2 linked regions of the Macaca mulatta genome follow. The protein of the gene in region 1 purifies or fractionates together with the protein of each later gene. This does not show direct contact. Links are inferred from orthologs where the notes say so. Each region holds a gene or a part of one and is shown in the gene's direction. Other genes may lie near its edges. The genes, in order: KLHL15 and NUDCD3.

Evidence for each region.
Region 2: the proteins of KLHL15 (region 1) and NUDCD3 purify together in Homo sapiens (co-immunoprecipitation; 3 studies listed by BioGRID and IntAct, with this or other methods). This does not show direct contact. The link is inferred for Macaca mulatta from reciprocal best matches to the Homo sapiens genes KLHL15 and NUDCD3.

Annotation. Positions count from the first base shown.
Region 1 is NC_133426.1:23,827,052-23,831,488, reverse strand, and holds the start of KLHL15 (kelch-like protein 15), read left to right. Parts: upstream 1-1,341; 5' UTR 1,342-1,438; intron 1,439-1,621; exon of another isoform or gene 1,622-1,684; intron 1,685-4,437. UniProt on the Homo sapiens protein: Substrate-specific adapter for CUL3 E3 ubiquitin-protein ligase complex.
Region 2 is NC_133408.1:84,051,175-84,054,538, forward strand, and holds the end of NUDCD3 (nudC domain-containing protein 3), read left to right. Parts: intron 1-158; coding exon 159-269; 3' UTR 270-2,674; downstream 2,675-3,364.

The DNA of each region.
Region 1 (4,437 bases):
TTGACGCAAGTGGAAACAGAACAGCTTTTTTAAATCCGGCATTATCTCCGGGTGGTGCAGACATGCAATTTTTTATGAATTTTCCCACCCCTGGGAAATCGATTTCTGAAACGTGTAATTGTTGTGCAGCAAGCCAAGTGGACAGTGACGCAATAATCCACTGCAAGTTGCCTTACAAAAATGATGTCATTTGGCGCAGATCTAGTCACTTTTATAACAGGTAGCTATGGAAAAGCTCCCTCCACGTTGTCCCCGATTCCCCCACCCCCACCGTGGCCAAGATGCAAAAAGACACTTTCCTGGCTTCCTAGCCCTCAACTTGTCGAGGGTGGGCGCACCTCAGTGGCTCGGGGCCCATCGCTCGTGCAGGCGGAGAGGGACCAAGGGGACGAGGACAGCTGAGTGTCCTCAGCCCCGACGGCGGCGCCGCGGGGGAAGCTGCGTCGGGCCCAGTCTGGGGCCGCGACGCCCGGTCGCCTGTTTTCCTCGGTGGGAAACCGCTGGCGTGGCGGGCCGGCAGCCGGGACGCGGGGCGCCGCGGGCGCGGGACAGCCTTCCCCGCCAGCCCCCCACCCCCGTTCCCACACCGGCTCCCGCTCCCGTGGCGCCGGAAGTGACGCGCTTTAGGCTGAAAGATGGCGGCATTGGCGCTCGACCAGGGGGAAGGTAAACACCCGCCAGGCCACAGGCTGGCCCCCTCGGGGCGCCAGCAGGGGCCGAGGGGGGGCCTCCCGGGCCAGCTCCCCGCCCCCAACGGCTTCCCACCCTCCGCCCTCTCTCCCAGCGTGGCGGGCTTCCGCGTCAAGACGACGGCGCACGGGGCCCCGTGCCGGCCAGCCCCGCCTCCCTGGGCGGGCCCCGGGCGGCTCCCGCGGCCCGCAGGGGGCGCGCGGCCCGGAGCGGCCCCCGGCTCGTGGCCCCGCACGCCCCGCCCCTTCCCCGCCCCTTTCCCGCCTTCCTCCACCCCCGGCGTGGGTGATCCCGAGGCTCGGCGCGCTTCGGGGCAGAAGCTCGGAGACGCCGTCCTCGACGCTACCTTCTCTGGTGCTTCTGTCTCTGCCTGCTGCCCCCCAGCCCTTTCCCCCGCCCGCGGCCCCAGTCGGCCCTCCCGCCGAGCCCCGCCGGGTGCTGCGAGGCCCCCGGCGTTGGCAAGGTCGGTCCGGGCCCCGACGCCGCGCCGCCTCGTGCGGAGCCCGACTGTCTGGTTTCGCGACTCAGCGCTGTCTTCTTTCCCAGGACTTATCCAGAGGGTGCTGCAGGCGAGCACGCTCGTGCCCCGCCGGAGCGACCCGGCTCGTGCCGGCAGCGGCCGCTCGTAGACGTCCGAGAAGCCTGCCGAGTGCCGTCCCGGCGCCCGACCGCCCACCCATTGGCCCGCCGGCCCGGTTCTTCCTGATGCAGACTGCCGTCCACTAGAGGCTGGACAGGACCCCCCGAGGTACGTAGCCGCCCCTGGCCGCCGGCCTGCGGAGCCCGGGCTTCGCCCGCGACCCCGAGCTAGGCACGAATTCGCCGGCCCTCTCTACACGGACCCGAGTCAAACATTGGGTAGACGCCGGGACCTCATTTGTCTTTGAGTTTACTTAAATTGTTTGAAATGTAATTTTTTTTTTTTCCCCAGAGAGAGCGAGAAAGAAAAAGGAAGAAGCATAATTCAGCCATTTTTTGCAGCACACAGCTGCAGGTACCATGATTATTTTTTCCCTAACCCGTTCCTTCCCTTTAACAATTCAATTTATGCCTGAAATAGAACTATGCGAAATGCGAGGCATAAAACTAGGAATCGGAAGGTCTGGGTTCGACTTGGGTGACTCTGAGAAAAAATCGCGTACCGAGCCTCGGTTTCTTATCTATGAAATATAGTCGGTAGTACCAACATCGCAGGGTTGAGAGGACTATATGAGGTCATATATGTGAAAATAATCCTTAACTGTAGAGTGTTGTAAGAATTCAAGGCCGTTTTTTAAAGTAACCTTTGCTAGAGTGGTTAATGTAGTGGCTAACTGTTGCTGCCTCTTTATTTCTATATTACAAATAAAAGCAAATAAGTACGGAATAATAGTAAAGCAGTGCTGTGAATCCATAGATCTATAATAGTCACGTTGCTTGGCCTTCCTCCTACGAAGTGCTAACTGCTTATTTAAATAACGGTATTCTTTAATTCAAATGTAACGTTACTGTAGGCGCTTTGCTTTTCCTCGTTCTAGGCCGCTTTAGGCCCCTTTTCTTACTCTGAATATTTAGTTAACACCTTACATTTGTTTAGTCTTTTCTGTTTTCCGAATTTGTTTGCCTTTGTTGATCTGATTAAGTGGTAATTTAGAAAATGCCTTGCAGACATACATACCCTAATTTTAATGCCTGTTTTTCATATCTAGGGAGCAGGATGCTCTAATACTTCTACTAATTTGAAAATTGGTTAAGAGCTTATCAATGCATTCATGTTTCAGTAATCCTTAATAGATCTAGAAATGTATAGAACATTTCAACTTTTTAGCACTTAATGTAATTATATAATTTGATTCTCATTTTTAATCATCACATGTAGTAGGTGCTTAGAGTCACAGTTTATCAGTGGTAGAGGATGTTAACTTGCACTCTTCATTGCTGATTAATTTGGGGAAAGAATAGGATAGTAAATATTTGTGGTTTGAAAATTGAATTTATTTTGCCAGAATTTATATGTGTAACAGATCAGTATGGATCATTTTTACTTGGCACATCAAAAATATAGTATGGTTTGGCTTAAATGGTCCACAAAAAGTGAAAAAGAAGCATTTTTGGGTACATTGTTATTTTTAGCTAACAAATGGTTTTGAGTAGTTAGGTTTTATTAAATTTATGATTGTCTAGTCCAATATCGGTTGTCTTTTCAGAGTATGCTTTTGTGTTTTGTAAAAAGGCAGAATAATAGAAGTTGGACAGGATTAACATAGTAAAAGGAAAAGCCTACTTCAAAGTGGTTGGTTTTATAGATTGGATTTATCACTTAACTTGAAGATAAAATTTTGACAAATCATTGCTTTATTGGGAATTTGAAGGTTTGACCTTCTCTCTACCTCGAGTCGGGTTATCTCAGAAACCTAACCTTGACCAGGGCAGGCTTGCCTTCATGGATGTTCAGAAGGGCCCCACGCTTGGTTTAATAATCTGCATGTAAAACTGGGATTGTACAGTATAAGGGTGAATGGTAAAAGTCATGCTAATTTAAATTTTTAATTTTCCTTTACTCAGAACGACATTAAACATAAAATTTAAAAAACACCCATGAGAGCCGGGAGCGGTGGCTCACGCCTGTAATCCCAGCACTTTGGGAGGCCGGGAGTTTGAGACCAGCCTGACCGACGTGGAGAAACCCCGTCTCTACTAAAAATACAAAATTAGCCGGGCGTGGTGGCGCACGCCTGTAATCCCAGCTACTCTAGTTCTAGCTACTCTGGAGGCTGAGGCAGTAGTAGAATCTCTTGAACCCGGGAGGCGGAAGTTCTGGTGATCCAAGATGGCGGCATTGCACTCCAGCCTGGGCGACAAGAGCAAAACTCCGTCTCAAAAAAAAAACGCCGTGAAATAGTCGAGAGATACAGAAGAAAGGAAAAAGCTTTATATTTTACTGCTTTTGACGACTTTTTTTTTTCTTTTTTTTAAGACAGAGTCTTGCTCCGTCGCCCAGGCTGGAGTGGAGTGGCGCGATCCTTGCTCACTGGAACCTCCACCTCCTGGCCTCAAAGGATTCTTGGGCCTCAGCCTGCTGAGTAGCTGGGATTACAGGCATGCACCACCACGCCCGGCTAATTTTTGTATTTTTGGTAGAGACGGGGTTTCACCATGTTGGCCAGGCTGGTCTCAAACTCCTGGACTCAAGTGATCCGCCCGCCTTGGCTTCCCAAAGTGCTGGAATTACAGGCGGGAGTCGCCGCACCCAGCTTTTTTTTTTTTTTTTTTTCCTCTTTTGAGACAGCCTTGCTCTGTCTCCTAGGCTGGAGTGCAGTGGCGCGATCTCGGCTCACTGCAACCTCCGCCTCCTGGGTTCAAGCTATTCTCCTGCCTCAGCCTCTCTGGTAGTTGGAATTACAGATGCGCGTCACCATGCTCAGCTAATTTTTGTATTTTTAGTAGAGACGGGGTTTCACCACATTAGCCAGGCTGGTCTCGAACCACTGACCTCAAGTGATCCGCCCGTCTCGGCCTCCCAAAGTGCTGGGATTGCAGACGTGAGCCACCGCGCCCGGCCATCGCCCAGCCTTTTAACGCCATTTTTCCCTGATTTTGAACAAGAGTCCCCGCAAATGATGTAGGTGGCCTGTTGTCAAGCCTGGCCTTTCCCAGTGCAAATGTTTTGAGAGTGAATAATGTTAACTGTGAGGAGAATGAATCTTTAGCTTAGAGGAGGTGGATTACTTTATTAGCATCTATTTTCTCTGAATTGGAGTACTATAT
Region 2 (3,364 bases), on another chromosome or scaffold:
CTCCAGGGTAGTACGGTTCTCTGGGAGCCGGTCTTGCCAGGCAAGTGCCTGAGCCCTGAGGAAGCAGGAAGGCTCTCTGCCTGCAGTCAGAGTCTGCTCTGGGAGAAAGTACACAGTGCCTTTTGATCCCCTTTAATCTCTCTATTTTCTGTTTGTAGAAAGTCCATGAGATGCTGAAGAAGGGGTGGGATGCTGAAGGTTCTCCCTTCCGAGGCCAGCGATTCGACCCCGCCATGTTCAACATCTCCCCGGGGGCTGTGCAGTTTTAATGACCAGAAGGAAAGGAAACCCTCGCCGGTGGGGAGGCAGAGCCTTATCCTCGGCCGCCCTCCTCGGCTCCCTGCGTTCCAGGGACTTGCTCGTCTTGTTTACCCCTAACCATCCTTTCTTTCAAGGGTGAACCAGGCCTTCCACCCTGACCTTGCATCTCCAGACTGTTGCAGAGAAGGTGCGGGGCCAGCTGCTGTGTGGTGGCCGCTGTGGCTGACGCTGAGTGAAGGTGTTTGAAATGCAGGAGAGGATATCCCAGCAAATTGGGATCACATGCTTTTGTCTCCACAGCAACCAGCCACTGCAGGCAGCATGTCTTTCCTCCCCTGCTCCCTGCTTGCTGTTGTTTTGACGCTATTCTGCTTGCATGTCTTCTGGTTGGGATGTGGAGTTGTTGCTGGGCTCTCAGGCGAAGCTGAAGTCATTGAAGTGTGTGAAGCTCTGTGCTTGCATGAGGGCGAGCAAGGAATGGCTGTGCCTGGGGCTGCTTTGGGAAACTCTTTGCCCCTTGACCTCTTTTGGGAGCATTCACGTGGTCTTCTTGCTCATCCCTTTATAAATGTGCTCTGCCTGCCTCAGCCTCATGGTCAGAGCAGTGGAAACTGGAGCCCTGTTTGCACATTCTAGTTGTTGGGAGAAAGCCCGGGTTCTGGGCTCAGGTCCAGATGCAGCAGGGATTCTGTTCTCTGACTGTGGCGACCTTGCTTTGGTTCTTGTTGAAGTGAACCAAGCCCAGCCACCACGCATGGCATGCTGTGCTTGGCTCCCCATAAGACGTCCTCTTTGGGTGCACGGTGTCAAAGCGTAGGCAGGAGTGGAGAGCTGGTGCCCTCAGGAGGAGACCACAGCATGTTCATCAGCTCATCAGCAGAGCACAACAGCCACAAGTCCTGAGAAGCTTTGACCTTGAGGGGCTTCTAGGAGAAGTGGAATTTCTGCATGGGGCGTGAAGGCACACTGTCCCACCACAACTGAACCAGAAGAGAGAGAAGACTCCCCCCTTCCCATCCTCTGTGCCGGGTGTCAGACTGCGCTCCCTGGAGCTTATGGCCCGATCTTACCTGTTCTCTGGGGACTGATCACTGCCTCAGGAGCCCCAAGCCTATGCCCTGAGCCATGGCTGCTGATTGACTCCAGCCAAGGTGCAAAGATGAAATTATGGGACAGGGCCTCAGGCCTGTGTTCCAAGTACTCACAGGGGCTCTGGGTGCCCATCGCCGGGAGTATGGTTCAGCTACCATCGGCACTGCCCATTTGCCTGTCTCTCAAGCTCAGAGCATGGATGAGCCGCACAGCAGAGCAGTGCACCCTGGCACCATGCACGGCCAGCAAGAATCAAGGCCTGCAGATGCTAAGAGAGCCTATTGTCAGGGGAAGGACCCCACCCCTGCACACACTCTCTGTGGATACTTGGGTTGTGGGGGCTGTCTTGGAGAGTAAGTTTGTGGTTGGTTTCTGGTTTACAGTGGTGGCTGACACCCCTTGTAAGAAAGCATTCCTGGGAAGTCTTCTGTGGGTCTAAACATGTTGCTCCGATCATCACGCGAGAGCAGAAGGCCCTAGATACCCCCTTTGGAATGTGAGAGCCTTGTTGTCTGATACTTGCCACTGAGCTGGTGAAGCCGCTCTAAGGAGATCTCGACCCTGGGGAGCAGAACTCTTGTCATCTATGAGGGGTCCTTCTGAGAAAGACTCATTTTTTTCCTGGAGTTCTTCCCATCGAGGTCCTAGGATTTCACATCACTGTCCCATAAGAGCTTTCCTGCCTAATGAAAGGAGGTCTTGTGTGTGTCTCCTCTCATCTCTGTAGTTCTCGAGTTGGCCCCCATTGCAGCCCCACCCTGTGGGTAGTCTTCCAGAAGTGATGCAGTGGTGTGAGATGCCCTACACCTTGTTATTTGGGAGACTTTGAGAATCACTTCCATGGTGACCAGTGTTTGTTTTGCCTGATTTTGTATTCTGTGTTGCATTTCTCCCCACTCCCTGCCCTGCTTTAATAAATGGCAAACCAATGTCTAGGAAGAATGACTGAAGGGCAGTATTGGGTATTGGCCCCATGGCAGGAGCAGCCACTTGCATCTGGTCCCGGTGCCACACTGCAGTGCTTGGTGTGGTTGTGGAGCCTGTCCCTGCACGCCTTGCTCCCGTTGAGCCACGCTGTTTGGTGGGTGATTCTCTGCCCTGAGCCACCACTCTGGACTGGCCCAGTCTCCAGAGCTGGCACACCCTGCCTGTTTTCTCTTTTTAGACACAACAGCCGCAGTTTGGCCAGCCACTAAGTCCCACCAGCTGAGGTCCGAGGAAAGCGGGGTGACTCATTTCCCTTGTCCAGGGCCCCAGGAGAGTGAGGTGTCCAGCCTGCAAAGCTGTTCCAGCTCCTCGGTGTTGGTTTGCAATAAATCGGTATTAAAGCAGTTCTGGGTCTGCGTGTGACATTTGCTGCTGAGACAGTTCTGTCTGTGCATGGTCATTATTGTTATATTCTGGCCTCGGGGTCCCAGGCCAATGTACACAGCAAACACCAGCGTGGGGAATTCTTAGGGGTTGTTTCCCATCTGGTCTGAATGCACTGGGCAAGATCTCAACACAGCTTTAGAAATCCTGTAAGATTTTGATTAGTGAGGAGAAAAGGAATGTAGCTATAGATCTTACATCCTTTCAAACAGGTTCTGGAATTCTGTAGTTACCGGAAAGCTTAGGGTGAGTGCAGAGTTGGGAATGATTCCACTGGAGGGCCATCTTTGCCTACCAGGCTCCAAGGCCCTCCTTGATCTCCAGGTACATACCTGCTGTTACCTTTGCTGAGCCCTCACAATGGGCTTCCTCCAGGACATAACCCCATGTCTGACACACAAGTCTCCCAGGTGGCTGGCCACCTGCTTCTTCCTCAGTCAGATCTTTGACTCTCCTTCTCTGTGCCCCACCCCATTCCATGGGTATCCATCTCCAGCCTCCTCCGACCCTGCTCACCCCTGGGGACAGGACCTAGGGGTGTGAGAATTACTTCTTGGCTGAATGAAGACTGTTTCAAAGGCAACCCTTAGAATTGCCTAGCATACTCCCAGGGCCAGAAATAACCCACCAGAGAGGAGAG